Linked DNA regions of Callithrix jacchus. The protein of the gene in region 3 purifies or fractionates together with the protein of the main gene of each other region. This does not show direct contact. Links are inferred from orthologs where the notes say so. Each region holds a gene or a part of one and is shown on either strand. Other genes may lie near its edges.

Region 1 (6,218 bases), on a different chromosome or scaffold from region 3:
AGCTCATAGTTCTGCTAACTGACAAGTTCAAGGGCATGGCAATGATAAACCCTAGCAAAAGATTTTGTTCTGAGTCATAACATGGCATAGAAAGTCAAAGGAGAAGCACAGGTATAAAGAAGAAAAATCTGAGGAGGGTCCTGAAATTACGACCCACTCTGAGGGGAATGAATCCATCACTGGGAGAACAAATCCAATCCCCCAAGAGTGAGAGTGAAAACCCATTCACTATTACAAGAATAGCACCAAGCCATTCATGAAGGATCCGCCTCCACAACTCGAACACGTCTCAACACCATTGCATTGGGGATCAAAGTTCAACATAAGTTTGGTGAGGACAAACAAACCATATCCAAATGACAGCAGCAGGGATGAGAGGCTTGGCTTCATTAATCTGAAAAGGTTTCCATATCAGCAAAATGAGATAGGTAGATTGGCACTTAATTCAAACAAAGTAGACAGAGCAGGAGTAGGCCCTATGCAAACTCATAAAAATGGTAAGATTTTAGGCTTGAGAATACCTCACTGATATCCAACTGTCCATAGATTTGCCTCTTCAGGACGTTGCTTATAAATGCAATCATATAACATACTGGCTATTTTCACTGGCTTTTCACTTAGCAAATGTTTCCAATTTAATCCATGATATGACATATGTCAATATTTCATTCTTCTTTATTGCCAAGTAATATTCCATTGTATGGATATACCACATTTTGCTTATCACACATAGGATGATGTACATTTCAGTTGCTTCCCCTTTTTGTTGTTATAAATTTTTTGCCAACAAATTAGATAATCTAAACGAAATGAGCAAATTCCTATAAAGACACAAACTACCAAAACTGACTTATTAAGAAATGTTTAAATTTCAGTAGAATTATAAGTTAAGAGACAAAATCAGTAATCAAGAAAGAAAAGCCCAGAACTCTGTGGCTCCACAGGTGAATATTACCAAACATTTAAAGAATTAACTCCAATGCTTCTCAAACTTCTAAAAAAAAACAGAACAAATCCTAACTAATTCTTTGAGGTTGGTATTACTGTAACACCAAAACTAGACAAATGTATCACAGAAAAAAACTACAAGCAATATCCCTGATGAATACAGATGCAAAAATGTTCAACAAAATACTAGCAAACCAAATCTGATACCATGTTAAATTGATTATTTACAAAGGCCAAGTCAAATTTATTAAAATAAAAACAAAATAAATCCAATAAACAAAAAGGGACGGTGGTTGAACATGTGAGAATCAATTACAGAATAAACTAAAGCTTTGGACTATGGTTGATGATGATGTGTTAAAGTAGGTTTATCAGCTATAACAAATGTACTCTCTGGTGTTGGATATATTGATAAGTGGGGAAAACTGCATGTGGGAGGTTGTCAGGTGGTATACAGAAACTCTGTAATGTCTACTAAATTTTCCTATGAACCTAAAACTGCTCTAAAACATAAAGTCTACTAAGAAAAAAAGTGGGGGGGGGGGGCAAGAATCTGAGTAGGTATTTCTGAAAGAAGATACACAAATGGCCAATAAACACATGATATTCAAGATCATTCGTCATCAATGCAAATAAAAACCCCAACATCAAACCACTAATTGGCTATTAAGGTAAAAATAGAGAAAACAAGTATTGACAGGAATGTGAAGAACTTACGCATACATTATGGGTAGGAACCTAAATTGGTACAGCCACCATGAAAAACAGGGTGGCAGTTTCTCAAAAAGGTAAACAGAATTACCATGTAACTAAGCAATTCAACCCCTAGGTATATATACCCAACCAAAAGAAGTGAAATCCCTCTGTTCACAAAAAAGCTTGTTCACAAGCATTCACAGCAACATTTTTCATAGTAGTGTAAAAGTATAAACAATAAAAAATGTCCATAAACTGATAAATATAATTGGGTATATCCACCCAAAGAAAGATTCATCACTGACAAGAATGAGGTATGGATGCATGCTACAACATGGATAAACCTGAAAACATATGCTAAGTCAAAGAAGTAGACACAAAAGGCCACATATTATATGATTCTGTTTATATTAAATGTCCAGAATAGGCAAACCCATAGAGACAGAAAGCAGATTGTTAGTGGTTACCACTGAAGAGCAGAAGAGACAGGGAGCAACTGCTTAAGAAGTATGTGATTTCCTTTTGGGGTGATAAAAATGTTCTGGAATTAGATAGTGGTAATAGACACACAGCATTGTAAATATACTAGAAGCTACTAGATTATATACTTTTAAGCAGTTAAGATGATGAATTTTATGTTACAGTAATGTTTCCTCAGCTAAAAAGAAAACCGAAACAAATTTAAATTCACTCAGCAACATATTAACATGATCATAAGTCCTTTCAGTATTCCTTTTTTTCACCTATAGTTCCATGCATCTTTCAGGATTCTTATATCTGTCTATTCAAAACCTAGATCTATAAACAGCAAGCAGATAATTTACAACTGCAATACCATTAACAGTTACAAGACAAATTTTTAGTTCTAGCTACTAAAAGAAACAAACAAGAGGGAAAAAAAAGCCATGTAATAATCTTAAAAGACAAGCTTATACTGATCACTGTACTCACTTTTAAGTGCAAGTAAACCCAATTATTTAAGTAAGCTGACAGAATACAAACATAAATTAACCCTGTCCTGGAAAGCAGCAGTGACTCACCAAGCTTCTCTGGCTCATCGGGCCCTGTGCCCGCAATGCAGCTGCTCTCTAGGCCGTAGGTGGGATCCACTTTCCCAGAGGCTCGTGCTGCTTCTTGTACTTTCTTGACATGAGCTTCAACCAATTCCAGTGGTACCTCCTCCCGGACCCGAGAAAATTCCTCTGGTTCAAGAATAAAAATAGAACAGCAATCTAATTTTGCAGAAAAATTTGTTTCAATGTAAAACCGCCACCAGAAAACACAACACAATATTATTGTCTTAGGTGTAGCAACCTCTCCAGGCTCTCAGTCCCTCTATACCAGCGATATGAGAGAACTAAATGAGATAAAAATAGACAATAATAAAATTCTATGACTCTCGATTTTATCCTACACATCACACAGTGCCTTGAAATAAAAGATACCTTTCAACTTATACGAACAATAATGAAAATTGCTGTCCATATTTAACTTTGCTTACTAGATTAATAAATCACAGAAACAAAAACAACAAGAACTAAACATCTATAAAACCAAGAAAGAGTTCCATGATGTGAGAAAGTTCTAGTTATAATTAACATGTCATCGGTAAATATTAAATATTGCTAGTTATATCAAATTCTAAATTAATCACAAAATATACAATAAAAAAATCTCTTTATGGTACCCTCTACATACTGTTGGAATTTAAAAACAAAAACCTCTGTCCCTCCAATTCCTAAGGCTCTTAATTTTAAGGTGCATTATTTCCAAATACTTTTATAAAGAACATGGTAATATGGTACTTTTCATGGGTAATATCTGATTTTTGTTATTTATATTTTTAAAGAATGAATGTAACAGCTAATAATATTTAAATTCAGTTTTTCTGTTGAGGAGATGGTTTAGGGAAGTCCATACCTAAAGCCGCTTTTGCTGCAGCAGATGCCACGCGAGGGTCCACCACAGATGCCAAAAAAGCAACAGTACTCATGACTGGATTTCCTGACTGACTAAAGGGGACAGGCTGGTAGGCCAAAGGCCCAAGGGAAGCATCTGAATTCTCAAGGTATGGGTCCTCAATGGGAAGTCTCAAAAAGTGGAGGATACATTCATCCTGAGTACGACTTCCGACATGTTCTGACACTTTATTCCAATCGTCCTTGTACATCTCCAGGGCCTAAAATAGAAAAACCAGAAGCTTTCATGTCAGGTAACAAGAAAGTAATGTGTAGTATTACAAGTTTTTTATATAGCTGTTTCAAAAAAAATTAATGCAATATATTATACATAAGGAAACATATGTAAGGAAATATACATAAGGAAATGGCTTTCCTTATATTAGGTTTTCAATCAGGCGAGAAACAATAAATAAACGGCATGCATACTAGAAAGAAATAGTAGGCCAGGTGTGGTGGCTCAAATCTATAATCCAAGCACTTTGGGAGGTTGAGATGGGTGGATCACCTGAGGTCAGGAGTTCAGCAACATGGCCAACGACATGATGAAACCCCATCTCTACTAAAAATACAAAAATTAGCCAACACAGTGGTGCACGCCTGTAATCCCAGCTACTTGGGAGGTTGAGGTACAATAATCTCTTGAACCTGGGAGGCAGACGTGAACCAAGATCTTGTCACTGCACTCCAGTCTGGGCAATAAGAGCAAAAAGAAAAGAAAAAAAAAAAACACAGAAAGCAAGGGGGGGAGGGGAGGAGGGAGGTAAGGAAGCCGAGGGAGGGGAGGGGGAGAGGGAGGGGAGGGGAGGGGGAAGGGGAAGGGGAGGAAAGGCAGGGGAGGTGGGGAGGGAGAAAGACGGAGAGAGAGAAACAGAAAAACAGAGACAAGAGAGAAGAAAGAAAAAAGAAAAAGGGAAAGAAAGAAGTAAAACTTTTTAAAATACAGACATGACTGTTTATATAGATATTTCTAAGGAAGCTATTAAAAAAAAGTACTAAAACTAAATAGCTGAGCAAAGTCACAGGATAGAAGGACAACAGAAAAACTCAATTATATTTCCATATATAATAACAATGAACAATTTTAAACAGGAAGAAAAAAGTATTTAAAATAACCTAAAAGCTGGGTGTGGTGGCACACATCTATAGTCCCAGCTACTCAGGGAGCTGAGGTGAGAGAATCTCTCGAACCAAGGAGTTAAAGACCAGCCTGACAAACAGAGTAAGACCCTGTCTTAAACAGCATAATGAAATATTTAGGAATAAACATAACAAAGTATGTATATGAGCAACATGAGTAAAACATGAGAGAACTCAAAGATCTAAATAAGATAAAGATATATTGTGTTCATTCACTAGAAGTCTCAGTATTAAGATGTCAATTCTTTTCCAAGTTGAACTGCAACAAATTCAGTACAATCTCAAAGTCCAAGTAGGCTTCATTTTAGTAGAAATTGATAAATCTAAAAGGTATAAAGTACATATATTTCTAGTTTTATAAATCCTGAAACAAACAAACAAACAGAGTAAAATGAGTCTCCAAGGGAAAAACCGAAAGAATGGTAGAAAGAAAACCACATCTACATGGTGCTAAGAAAGTTGGGAATTAATTGGATAAAAAGAATTTATTTAGAGACCTGCTGAAGTTGCTACTCTAACACCCTTCTCTCCAGGGCCATGGTTTTCAATGAAGGGTAATTTTTGCCCCCTTGAGGACATGGCAATGTCTGCGGTTATTTTCGGTTGACCCAACTGGGGAAGTGCTACTGGTGTCTAGCAAGGAGAGGCTAGGTATGCTGTAAAACATACATGAATCCTCCACCCTAACAACAAAAAAATCTGGCCCAAATGTCGATATTGAATGCTCCAACTGAAAAGCCTTGTGCTAGAGCCTAATTTGCTCATCTACACTGTGAGATGAGTTTTCTATAACAATAGTTGTCTCTGTTTACTTTTCGGTTATTTTTCTTCAAAGGTTTTTGTTTTTAATTTTTAGAGACAGGGTCTCACAATATTACCCAGGATGGTCACAGAATCCTGAGCTCAAGCAATCCTCCCATCTCAGCCTCCTCAAGTGCTGAGATTACAGGTGTCAAACAGTGGACCTGGCCATCAATTAATTCTTAACTCTGGGTTTCAACTGCTGCTCAGGCTTTCATTTTTGCTAGAATGGTAGAGGATTTCTCAAAACCCAAGCCAGCAAATGGACTGACTCATTAAATCCCTTGAAAAACTAGGCTAATTCTGGGTTTCCTCTGGATATTCAGTGACCTCTGGATATTTGATAACCTTAGATAGTTTGAGAAGGAATTACTTTTTGAAAGACCCAGATTGTAAGAAAAAAGAAAAAAAAAATCTGTCTCACTAGGGTCCATGAAAGCAGAAATATAGCTACTGGGGCTGTATTACGTTTCTAACTATAAATAGGAACTTTCTAGATATGCTATATCATGCCCTTTTCCAATGAAGTTTTATTTTAAAAATATTTTTTTATGTTCCTTCAGCCAAGGAATAATAAAGTTCAGAAAGTTTTTTCCAGAATAGAGGTGGAGTTGGGGAACCTCTGAAATGCAAAATCTAAGCAAGAATCAGCATACAGCACAGCATAGAGCTGAG
Region 2 (6,218 bases), on a different chromosome or scaffold from region 3:
ATGGAGATCCGAGGCTAGGTGGCAACTGGGACAGTGTCCCTGCCCTCCAGTTTCAAGTGATTCTCCTGCCTCAGCCTCCTGAATAGCTGAGATTACAGGCACCCGCCACCATGCCCAGCTAATTTTTGTATTTTTAGTAGAGACAGGTTTCACCATGTTGCCAAGCTGGTCTCGAACTCCTGACCCTGTGATCTACCTGCCGCGGCCTCCCAAAGTGTTGGTATTACAGGCATGAGCCACTGCACCCAACCGGTTTGTCTGTCTTACAGTATCTGTGAAAATATCTGTCTGTGAAAATATACCCTGGCTCTTTTGCAAGTCCTTTCACATACACAACCTCGTTTGATCCTCATAACAACTCTATGAGCTGAACAAGACAGATATCAACCCCACTGTGTGGAGGAACAAACAGATACCAAGAAGTTAAGTGATTTTCCCAAAGTTATAAAACCAGGCAGTAGCAGAACCAGAATCAGGGTTCAGGGGTCTTGACTCCCACAGTCCTGTGTCTTACTCCTACATTCACAGTGACGACTGGAGTAAAGTTATTTTGGACCTAATGGGGTGAAAGTACCAAGTAGTACATAATGTGGAAACATATGCAAATAATAAGGCAAATGAAATGAAAACAGGAAGGAAAGCACACCTGGAGGCTGTAGACTCCCAGACCTAGAGGACACTTATAGCTCCAATTTCCTCTCACAGAAAACATAACTGCTGGCCAGGCGCGGTGGCTCACACCTGTAATCCCAGCACTTAGGAAGGCCAAGGGGGACAAATCACTTGAGGTCAGGAGTTTGAGACCAGCCCGGCCAACATGGCGAAACCCGTTTTCTACTAAAAATACAAAAATTAGCCGGGCATGCACCTGTAATCTCAGATACTCAGGAGGCTGAGGCAGGAGAACCACTTGAATCTGGGAGGCGGAGGTTGCAATGAGCCGAGACCGCACCACTGCACTCTAGCCAGCCTAGGCAACAGAGCGAGACTCCATCTCAAACAAAAAAAAAAAAAAAAGGAAAGAAAGAAAAGGTAACTGCTGTGAGACATCAATGAGCTACAGGAAGTCAGAGGCAGGTGTGGGGCTGCATACTTACTCTCTTGCCCAGCCTTCTACTGTACCCACTGTTATCAACAGGGGTTCCTAAAGTAGAGGAAGGCGTGCCCTGGATGAGAGCAGAAGAGCCCAGTTTGGACTGTGATGTAAAATCACAAGACACAGTAGAAGCTCAATATCTACAATAACCACCGGAATTACCAGCTCTGGTCTGCCTTGAACTTGGAGGTGCCAAGATCAGGTGCTCTGAGGAAGTGGGGCTGCATGAGGGAGTATGCAGCGGGTGGCTCTCTTCCTCATTTCCTGGGTAAACACTGGGAGGCTGTGTAAATAAGACTTTGGTCCCTGGGTCCAGGCTGTTTATCCATTGGCAACTGATTTCCCTCTCTGGCCACTTCCTCCAGGACAGAGTTTGGCATGCTTGTGTTTCCAAAGCTTTGTTTATACTCTTATTTGGATATGGAGCCCCCATGGGAAGAAATGGGTGTTTTGGACATGAGAAAAAAATATATATTTTTCTTCAGGCCCCAAACCAGCATGTGGCTCAAATGACCAGCCCACTTATTCCCAGTCAATAAGCTATGTGATTAGAGATGGAAAGGGGAAGATGGAAGAGCAGATACTCAGGTGAGCTAATCTGTGAGGCTAGGGAGGACTTTTCTTTCTTTTTTTTTTTGAGATGGAGTCTCAATCTGTCTCCCAGGCTGGAATGCCTGGCGTGATCTCTGCTCACTGCAACCTCCACCTCCCAGGTTCAAGTGATTCACCCACCTCAGCCTCCCAAAGTGCTGGGATTACAGTCGTGAGCCACCGCCCCCAGCCTTAGGGAGGACTTTTCTATGGGTTTTCTCTCTTCTCTCTTTCTGCTATAAACACTTTTCTCGTTCTGACTACCTTTAGACTAAAGGGAAGCAATACTAGGAGTGAGGTGGAAGCAGAGGTAGGCAGAGAAGGCAGTAAAATGCTCATTGCAGAAAGAGATGTGGGGATTAAACACTAACCTCAGGACAGTGCTTATACCTTGGCCATGCTAGTAATAGGGTGGGGGGTTGTGGGAGTGGGGGAGAAAGGGTATGTGATCAAGGAAAGATGCCCATGGGGGCATCAACGGTATTGATAATGTTTTCTTTTTTTCTTGTTTTTGAGATGGAGTCACCCTCTGTTGCCTAGGCTGGAGTGCAGTGGCACAATCTTAACTCATTGCAACTCCCACCTCCCAAGTTCAAGTGATTCTCCTGCCTCAGGCTCCCGAGTACCTGGGATTACAGGCATGTGCCACCATGCCTGGCTAATTTTGTATATAGAGACAGGGTTTCATCATGTTGGCCAGGCTGGTCTTGAACTCCTAACCTCTTGATCCACCTGCCTCAGCCAAGTGCTGGGTTTACAGGCTTAAGCCACTGAGCCCAGCTAATAATGTCTTTTTCCTCAGGCTGGGCAGTGGGCACACTAATGTTCATTATATTACTTTTTATGCTTTTTGTGTGTGTCTAAAATACGTTTTTTTCTTTTTTTGAGATGGGGTCTTGCTCTGTCACCCAGCCTGGAGTACAGTGGCACAATCTTGGCTCACTGCAACCTCCGCCTCCCAGGTTAAGCGATTCTCATCCCTCAGCCTCCCCAGTAGATACGATTACAGCCATATGCCACCACACACAGCTAATTTTTGTATTTTTAGTAGAGGCAGGGTATTGCCGTGCTGGCCAGGCTGGTCTCAAATCAAGTGATTCACCGGCCTCGGCCTCCCAAAGTGCTGGGATTACAGGCATGAGCCACCGTGCCTGGCCTATGTGTCTAAAATATTTTATATGCACTATATTTTAAATAACTCTAGAACTAGGGGACTAGAGTTCCATTCTGCATTCTATCACCACCTTGCTGTGTGCCTGGAAAAGTTTACATGTTTATAAAATGGATGAGAATGTCTCCCAATTTTCTACCAATCTTTTATCACATTTTCACCATAAGCCCCCTAAATGCATTTACTTGTGTTCCCATTTTCGCTTGCTAAATATTAGGTCAGAACTTCTGATCAAGGCTGTCAAAGTGACCAGAAAAGGTTTATTACATTTCAGCTATGAGCAAGGAAACCTGACGTATTTGGTCTTATCACAAGTATAACTTCCTAGGTTAGGTGTGTGGGATGGGGTGTGTGTATGTGTGTGTGTTTTATTGTTGTTTTCTTTGACTTAAGTTTTTGCTATACTGCCCAGCCTGGAGCATGGTGGCAAGATGAGACCGTCCTTCAATGCAGCCTTGAACTGGGCTCAAGGGATCCTCTTGCCTCAGGCTCCTGAGTAGCCAGAATCACAGGCATGTGCCATTGTGTCTTAAACATCCAACCCCAGGTGATCCGCCCGCCTTGGCCTCCCAAAGTGCTGGGATTACAGGCATGAGCCACTGTGCCCGGCCAGACTGAATTTTTTAATGTACAACTTTAGAATGCTGGATTCAGAAAAACTGGAGCACCAGAGCAGAACCTGCACACTCCTAAGGGCATAATATTTTCTGCCTTGATAAGTTTGTAAATAACAAAAATAAGTTATAATAGCAAAAGCTACTATTCATTGAGGGTAGATACTTCAAATACATTATCTTTACTTATCCCCCCATCCTTGACTATTACTGTCTTTTAAAAATTTTTTTGGTCTCACTCTGTTGCCCAGGCTGGAGTGCAGTGATATAATCATGGCTCACTGCAGCCTTGACCTTCCAGGCTCAACAGATCCTCCCTCTTCAGCTTCCTGAGTAGCAGGAACCACAGGTGTGTACTACCATGCCCAGCCAACTTTTTTACTTTTGTAGAGATGGGGGTCTCACTATGTTGCCCAGGCTGGTCTCAAACTCCTGTCTGGGCTCAAGCAATCCTCTTGAGGATTGCTTCCCAAAGGGCTAGGATTACAGCCATGAATCACTGTGCCTGGCCTGTCTTCCTCTTAAAGAGGGAAAATAACACCAGAGGGTTTAGGAGACCAAGGATTCAAACTAAGACATTAAAGGTCATTTTCTTGCTTTAATACCAAGCTGCTCCTCTAGTAAGAGCCCACCCTCCTGTGAGTAGAGCCTGATTCTTGGCCTAAATGGGTTAAGGAAACCTCTAAAGCCATCTACAGGAAAAGCATGAATTTGTCTCATCTTGGAGGGGAATGAGACCCTGCAATTCAGAGAGCAAATACCTCACTCAGCAGCTGGCAGCTCCTCCAGTTGTTGGTAGCAAAGCAGCTCAATGCTTCAAGGAAAGTCTCTGTGGTTCTGTCATCAATACCACTGTACAGTTATTATAACTAACAAATAACTTTCTTCCTCGGGAATAAGACTACCTTGTGGTCAGCAGCAATAAACAAGTGCCGAATATTTTCTGACACAACATAAGCTGTCATAAGTTAATCAAAACTTCTTCTGGGACAATGCTGCTACACTATATGAAGTCTTAGATGCTAAGAGATAATTTCTAAAATAACACAAGGGGGAAGTCACATATGATAATTTTGTGCCGAATTTGAACATTTTTTTTTTCCCTACAGCTAAAATAATCCCCATGATTCCACAAACTAAGTGTGGCTTCTAAGATGGACCTGTTCTTAAGTTTCAAGTCTAAGGGGTCAAGGGCAGAATGACCTCATCTCAAAGACAGCACTGCCTAGAATCTGTCCTGAGTGGCCTCTAAATTCTCAACTAATACCCACAAAGTCAAAACAGTTACAGTTGGACAGAAATGAGAGATCATGTGGCCCAGCCCACTTTACAAAAGAAGAATCTGAGGGGAAGTGAGTTGCCCAGTCAGCTGAGAGTTAGAGTTAAATTTTACTGTATCTATTGTCTCCCCGTCCTGGGTCAGGAAAATTATTTTTCCACTACAATAATTACAGTACTCTTAGAACAGTGTTGTGAACATAATCAGAAAAAGTCCTACCTCTATCATTTACAATGAGGAAACATGAGAAATCAGACTTTCAGATGAAACAAGGAGGTATAATATACAGATATATAAAAGAAAAACCAAACTTGAAGGGTAAAAGCACTCTGGCACCTTTGGGAGGCAGGGGAAATCAGGTGTCCACTGAAGGGGAGGCTCAAGGACAGGAGAGCAGGCCTCTGCAGTGGAAAGGGAGATGCAACTGGGGGCTGGAGAGTGTGGAGGGAACAGAATGGACTTACATCTCTGCATCTGCTTGCTGTACTCGGACATGTTATCTGGACGGATGGAGCGCAAGAATTTAATGTAGTCATCGCTGTGGTACTTGGTCATCTCCTCAGCATTGGCTTTGTGAGGGCGCTAGAGGGCAGAAGGGAGAAAGGGCAAGTTATTTTGACCATTGCCAGTCCACTCAATCTAGTCTGAACATTTATATTTCTGCACAGCATGGAGCTAGCTGCTATGAAGAATAAAAAGAAATAACTGATTAGATTCAGGCCTCAAGAAATTTATCATCTAACTAGGCAAACAAGATGTATCAGAAGACCTAGAGCAGCTCAAGCTCTATGACTTAGGCAAGTTCTTATCTCTTGAGCCTCCATTTCCTTATTTACTAAACAGGGACAACATGGACCGCACAGGGAAGTTGTGAGAATTGGATGAGACTGTTAAATCTCTTTGTAAACTGTAAAGTGTTTTACAAAATTATTACCTTTTTTTTTTTTTTTGAGACAGAGTCTTGCTCTGTCACCTGGACTGGAGTGTTGCAGTGCTATAGCATGATCTCGGCTCACTGCAACCTCAGCCTCCCGGGTTCAAGTGATTCTCCTGCCTCAGCCTCCCGAACAGTTGAGATTACAGGAGCCCACCATCATGCCCAGCTAATTTTTGTATTTTTTTTTTTTTTTTTTGAGACGGAGTTTCGCTCTTGTTACCCAGGCTGGAGTGCAATGGCGCGATCTCGGCTCACTGCAACCTCCGCCTCCTGGGTTCAAGCAATTCTCCTGCCTCAGCCTCCTGAGTAGCTGGGATTACAGGCACGCGCCACCATGTCCAGCTAATTTTTTGTATTTTTAGTAGAGACGGGGTTTCACCATGTTGACCTGGATGGTCTTGATCTCTTGACCTCGTGATCCACCCGCCTCGGCCTCCCAAAGTGCTGGGATTACAGGCTTGAGCTACCACGCCCGGCCTGTCCATAATTTTATATAATATTTATTGATTTTGAGATGGAGTCTTGTTCTG
Region 3 (6,470 bases):
TCCCAGCCCCAAACTTTCCCCACAGACTTCAGGGTCAAATAGTTTTGTAACCTGCTCCGCGCTGCCCACCTTGAGCACAAAACTCACTTCCGTGGACCTCAATTTGCACTTTTCAAAATGGGTGTAATACCTCATATGGGGCGCTTATGTAGATGAAAGCAAGATGTGTGTGAAGAACTGGCTGTCTGCTGCTTGCAAGACAGCGCTCGGGAAACAAGCCACGGGGCACACAGATTGAAGGGGATGACTCTTTGGCCACGCTGCTTCCTTCTCACCTCATTTGGGTGAGCAGCAGCCACCAGCCAACTCTCGGTGACAAAGGAGGGAGCAGGGATTTCAGAGTTGTTCCTAAGTTTCAACTGTCCCCACGGCCCTCCTTCCCTAGGTCCAGCCCCACAGCCTCTGCCTTCACAAGTAAATCCTAGAGGTTGAGCCAATGTGCCAGTCACTGGTACTGACAGAAACCATTGAGACAGTGGGGCTTGGGACTGGACTGACTTCGAGGCTCTGAAGGCGTGCCTGGCCAGGCGTCCAGTTGCGCAGGGCTGGGAGGAGACGTGGTCAGGGCCACACTGCAGGCCCCAGGTTGAAGTGAGGTTATCTGTGTCCAGCAATCTGCATAGCCCTCGAGCCACCATCAGGAGACACTGGCCTTAGGGAGGTGGAGCTTGCCAGAATCCTCAGCGCTGCGATGGTGGGGGCTGAGTGTTGCTGTCTGTTCCCCATGCCCTGGGCTCCCACAGTAAAGCACAACCAGCCCCTCAAAGGGAAAAGGAGGGGCAACACATTTCCCATTCTCAAACCAGGAACCACCGTATCAGCAGCTGCTCCTGAGATCCCAGACTGCCCCAGGCCTTTGGCAGGCCAGTCTACAACCCCTGCTGCCCCTGAATTCCTCAGAGCAGGGCAACCCCCAACCTTGTCTTGCCCATAGGGATCGGACAGCCCAAAGCTGCTCCCCACCTCTAGAAACAGGCATCATAACAGTCCCCACCTCCCCAAAGGTTGTTGTGAGGTCTAAATGGGATGGGGCAGGTCCAGTGTTTACCAGATGCCGGCCCCTGGCAAGTAGTGGCCACACTGGCGCTGCACTGGAGACTGGGGTGCCAAATGCCAGCAGCTTCCCAGCGAAAAATAATAACAAGAGCAAGCGCTTATATAACACCTCTTGCATGCCAGGCACTGTGGGACGCTGTACATGCATCCACTCACATCCATCTACATCCTCAACTCTCAGGAATGCCATCCGGGGCTGCATGGGGGTGGGGGTGCAGGGAGAAGCTGGAAGGGTCAGAGGGATCAGGGGGCAGGGAAGAGGAACCTGTCCCAGGGAATAAGGGCTAGCAGCCCCAGGTTCGTGCCTGGACTCAGCCACCTTGAGCAAGCAGGTATGGTGGGCTCAGTGTCCATGTTTGGGCAAAAAAGGGCAAGTGATGAGCCCCCCCATCCCAAGGAAAGGGAATCAAAGTGTGAGAACCCCTTCCCCACCTCCCTCCACCTGGCCTGGCTTCTCCCCTCCTGCTGGCCAGGGACACACAAACACAGACTTGCCCACATACCCAGGCTCCCCTCTTTAAAATACACACGTATACACAAACTGTGTTTTAAACAACCCACCCTACTACACTTACCACAGGCATCTGCCCTGACTCGGACCAAGACCTGAACCCTCTCCTCTTACAGTCACAGGCGTGCCTACGATCCCCAAACACAGGACAGGGGTCACAGACGTCCCAGCCCTTCCAAACCCAAGCCTGACACTCCGGACCAGCCAGAGGCCCTGGACTCCCTTCTCAAGCAGGGTTCCCAGCCACCCGTCCCAGCGCCCAGGGACTCTGAGTCAGCCTGAAAGCCTGAGCCATCACTGTTCTCCCCTTTTCCCCAGAGCTGGAACCCCATCTCCAAGCAGACCCTGTGGGTGGGGGGAGGAGTAGCAGAGGCAGAAAAACCAGCTGCAACACCCCCACCCAACCACCAAAACCTCCAAAAATAACAGCAGCTTCCCCACACACAACCCCCTACACACCAGAAACGCAAAAACAAAATCCAACAAATCCAAAATAAAGAAAAAAAAAAACAAAAGCCAATTACTGCCCCCAAAAGGCTTTGTAACCATTCTCAAAAAAAAGTTTATTAAAAGTGTTCTTACTTAATGCTTGAAACGGAAAAGATTCCCAAAATATACAGACGCCTTTCTCATAGAAATAGATTATTTTTATAATACAAAAAAAAAAAAAAAGACCAAAAAACAAAACAAAACAAAACATCAACAGCAACAAGCCCGTAGGAACATCTTTAAGCGATTACTCAGGGCCCGGCTGACAGTTACACGTGGGTTGCGTCAGTCCCATGTACACACGCGTTCGGCCATGTTTAAACCGATTGCATCAACTTCGAAACCGGCCCGCCCGCCGGCGCCTGGAGAGGGGCAGAGGGAGAGGCAGAGAGTCATTCATCTGTACACATAGACGTTTCTTCTTTAAATAACACCACGGGCGGGCGCCCCATCTGCATGTGCGGTTGATTTGGACAAAAATATAGATATATATATATATATAATAAAATATTAAAATTACCGACGGGCTCCCCGCGCTGCCAAGTGCCCCAGTGCCAAAGTTTTGCCGGCGCCGCCGGGGGCGGGGGCGGGGGCGCGGGCGCGGGTGCGGGCGCTCCCCGGAGTCTCGGCCCCGGCCGGCAGGGGGACGCGCGCGGGGGCCGCGTTAGCAGTGGCCGGAGGAGGCGAGCAAGGGCTCGGGAAGCTGCTTGAACAAGTTCCGCAGGGTGCTGAGCTCGCGCGACAGTTGTTCCACCTTCTTCTGCAGCCGCTCGTTCTCGGCCGTGAGCTCCAGGACCTTGTGTTGCGTCTCCAGGTTGCGCATCTTGGCCTTGTCGCGGCTCTTGCGCACGGCGATGTTGTTGCGCTCGCGCCGGATCTTGTACTCGTCGCTGTGCTTGTCCACGGTCTTCTTGGCCTTGCTCTTGACCTGCGAGGGCGCCGGCGCGGCCCCAGCGTAGCAGGCGGCCGGGGGCGCCTTGGCGTCGGCGGGGCTCGGCGTGCCGGGCGGGCTGGACGACGAGGACGTGGAGAGGCTCCCGCTGCTGCCGCTCGGCACAGCCTGGTAGCCGAGGTAAGCGCGCAGCGCGTACGGGAAGCCCGCCGCCATGCCTGCGCCGCCGCCCGGCGCCCCGGCCTCCTCCTTCCGCTTGCAGTCCGCGGGCTCGAAGCCCGGCTCCGCCTTGAGCTCGGCGGGCGGCGGCGGCGGCGGGGGCGGCGGGTGCAGGGGCGCGAAGCAGCCGGGGTGCAGCGCGCCCTTGGCGGCCCCCAGGCGCCCCAGGCTCACGTAGCCGTACTCGGCCGGCTTCTTGCAGTTCTTGCCCCCGTAGTCGTCGGAGAAGAGGTCGGAAAGGAAGTCGTGGTGCTGCCCGGAGGAGGCGGGCGCGGGGGCGGGCGCAGGCGGAGCCGCCTCGAAGGTGTCCGTGGCCGTGGCGGGCGCCGGGGCCTGCGGCGCGCCCAGCGGCTCCAGGTACGGGCTGAAGTCGATGGCGCGCTCGTGGTCGCCGATGCTGCCCAGCTCGCCGGCGGGGGGGCGCGGCCCGGGTCTGGCCGCGGGGGGCGCCGCGGGGGCCGCCTTGCCGCCGTACGCAGCAGCCAAGCAGTCCGCCTCGTAGTAGAAGTTGGCCACTTCCATGGATTTAAAGGCAGGCGGCGGCGGCAGGGGGAGACATGCTGGGTCCCAGGCCACCAGGCGTTGCATGAACGCGGGTGCCCGGGGAGGGGGCCTGGGGCTGCCCGCTCCGGCCGGCCCGCAGGTGGCGCGGCCTCCCTGCTGTGAGCTGTCGCCGCTGCGTCGCTGCTGCTGCCGCGGCTGCCGGGGTGGCCGCTATTAGTGCGGGGGCTGGTGGCTGGACCCTCGGGTGGGTCCCCTTCCCAGTCCCGTGCGCGGCTCTGACTCGCTAAAGTTTCTCCTGAGCCCGGTTATTTATAAGGGCGGCCCGTAGCAACCGTGCGTCACGCCGGCCCCTCCCGCCGCCGCCACCGGGACGCGGAGGACACGGCCGCGGACGCCCGAGACCCCCGGGAGGCCGGTGGCGGGGCGCAGCGGAGGGACCGGGCACCCGGAGCGCGTTTTCCGGGGGTCCCCGGGCCGCGGGGGGAGCGGCATCGCGCCCCCTGCCCACCCGCGCTCGGCCGCCCCGGGATTGGGAGCGAGAGGGGGCGGTGCGACCCCGCCCCCGGACCGCCCCTCTGGGCTGGAGGCTGCCCTGAAAGGCGGGGGAATCCGAGGAGGGGGCGACCTGAGCGCCTTCCCCCCGGAGACGCGGCCGCGGCCCGCCCCCTGCTGGAGGAGGCGGAGGTTTCAGGAGGGCCGAGCCGAGCCCGGACTGCCGACCGGGGGCCGCTCCCCGGGCCGATCCCTGGAGACCCCAGGCCGCAGCTCTAGCTCCTGGAGAAGCGACCCATCCCCGTGGCCCTTCCTCTCCTAAACTCCCACCCCTTCCCCAGGTCCCTGGCTCTAGAAAGGAGACTCCAGGCCTGTGACGACTCCCTCTTAAGCCACCAATATGAGGATCCCGGGGGTCGGGGAGGGGACAGGGCAGGAGCGCGCTCCGCTGGGGGCTGGACCCTGGTGGACGGCGCCCCGCCCACCTCACCTGCCGCCTGCTCGCGGCTTCAACACCTGGGTCTTCTCCCACCCCGCACCGCACCACCCGACCTGGGCCCTGCGATGGGGATGGAGTTGGGGGGCGCTCGGCCCTGCCACACTGTGTGACCTTGGGTGAGTCCCTTCACTTCTCCCAGCTGCAGTCCATGAAGGGTGTCCCTACTGTCAGCAGTGGTGGCATTGTTCCTACAGACTCCCCAACCTGAGGTTTACCTTATAGGCAGCACATCGGAGAAAAAGGGACCCCCACGGATTGTGCCACTGGAGGCCCAGAGGGGGCATAGCATGGCATACCAAGGTCACAGCCTAGTGTCCCGCCCACATTCATCCCACACGAAATGCCTGCCCTCTCTGGGCCCTAAGACCTATTGCCAGCCCCAGAGACCAAAAAGCTTCTGTTTCTGAAGCTGCCGTGAGCGGCTTAAGCCAGGCCTCACGGGAGAGGGGGTGGCATTCAGGAAAGAGAAGAGACACCCCTGTTTTTACCAAGTCCCTGCCCTGTGCTCGGGGTGGGCCTGGACCCCAAGGTTCAACTTTTTTCACCCCACCAGGAAGATGCTTCTGCTGCTGCCTTTTCACAGACGGGAAAGTGACAAGCACCAGTCTGGACTTGAGCACAGGCCAGAGGTCCTCTGACCACTGCCCGCCTCTGCTGGGTAGGCTCAGGTCAGAGGGCCCTTTGCCCTCCGGGACCCACTCCTAGGCCACTGGGGCAGCTCCCTGGGCCCACCTCTCTGCCACTCCTAGCCCAGGCTGCCCAGGCAGGAGCTCCCAGCCTGCCAGGGGCTGACCCCCGGCCCACTGACCCCAGCCCTGGCCCCAGCAGGCAGGCGGGCATTGCTCAACCTTCGATGTTATCTGCTGAGCTGGGGTGACCTCTGCCCCCAAGAGCTGGAGAAATAACATTTCTGGGCACCCTTGGTGGGTAGGAGGCAGGGAGGGAGGGGATAGAACACTGGCCGAGCCTGCTGGCTTTCTGGGCCTTCCCAGCAGCCTCTGAGCTGGGGAGGGATCAAGGCCCAGAGGGGTGCAGCAGTTTCCCCAGGGCCACCCGGCCAGGCCTTCCTCACTGGAAAATGGGACACTCGGGGCTGAGCTAGAGGCCACGGCTTCAGAGCAGCCCTCTCTGTCCCCCCTGCTGGCGAATTTCCTTCCCTATCACCAGCCTCCATTCTCCTAGTGGTCTATCTCAGTCTCCCTGCAGACTGCCGCTCAGGGAGGGCTGGCCCACGAGGAATTCCTGGGTGCAGCACACTCAACATGGACCCGTGAATGAATGCATTTGCTGTTCCCTATGCACCAAGAACACTGTCACCCCACCTCTGCCCAAGGCAGCTCCTCAGTTCTCAGCCCAAAGGCTGCCTCCTCCAGGAAACCGCCCCCTGTCCAATCTCCCCATGGGAAGTCCAGCCCCTCAGTCGATCCTCTCACACCCCCCTGCTGTCACAATTCTTACTATGATCGGAATTATCTCACCTGCCCATCTTGCTGTCTGTCCCCATGGCCTTCACCACTGTGTCCCCGGTGCCTAGAACAGAGCCTGGTACACAGAAGGTGCTCAATGAATGAACAATGGAGGAGGCTGAGAAGAAGGAGAGGTTCCTCGTTTGCCTTAGGCAAAATGGCTTCCCTCTCTGAGCCACAGCACTCGTCCACATCCCCCTTCTGGATTCTAAAGAGACGAAATGAGATTTGGGAGACTGAAGGATTGGAGGATTTGCTGTGTGTCCTCAGGCCAATCTTCCACCCTCTCTGAACCACATTCCAAGCTCTTTGCATGTATTAATTCATTTAATCTTCTTGATA

Evidence for each region.
Region 1: the proteins of CEBPB (region 3) and SMARCC1 purify together in Homo sapiens (affinity purification with western blotting; 3 studies listed by BioGRID, with this or other methods). This does not show direct contact. The link is inferred for Callithrix jacchus from reciprocal best matches to the Homo sapiens genes CEBPB and SMARCC1.
Region 2: the proteins of CEBPB (region 3) and HDAC1 purify together in Homo sapiens (affinity purification with western blotting; 3 studies listed by BioGRID, with this or other methods). This does not show direct contact. The link is inferred for Callithrix jacchus from reciprocal best matches to the Homo sapiens genes CEBPB and HDAC1.

The regions. Positions count from the first base shown.
Region 1 is NC_133516.1:30,346,726-30,352,943, forward strand, and holds part of SMARCC1 (SWI/SNF complex subunit SMARCC1), read right to left. Parts: intron 3,824-6,218; coding exon 3,565-3,823; intron 2,847-3,564; coding exon 2,685-2,846; intron 1-2,684. UniProt on the Homo sapiens protein: Involved in transcriptional activation and repression of select genes by chromatin remodeling (alteration of DNA-nucleosome topology).
Region 2 is NC_133508.1:68,928,496-68,934,713, reverse strand, and holds part of HDAC1 (histone deacetylase 1), read right to left. Parts: intron 5,334-6,218; coding exon 5,216-5,333; exon of another isoform or gene 1-5,215. UniProt on the Homo sapiens protein: Histone deacetylase that catalyzes the deacetylation of lysine residues on the N-terminal part of the core histones (H2A, H2B, H3 and H4).
Region 3 is NC_133506.1:45,725,100-45,731,569, reverse strand, and holds CEBPB (CCAAT/enhancer-binding protein beta), read right to left. Parts: upstream 3,957-6,470; 5' UTR 3,756-3,956; coding exon 2,721-3,755; 3' UTR 2,106-2,720; downstream 1-2,105. UniProt on the Homo sapiens protein: Important transcription factor regulating the expression of genes involved in immune and inflammatory responses. Also plays a significant role in adipogenesis, as well as in the gluconeogenic pathway, liver regeneration, and hematopoiesis.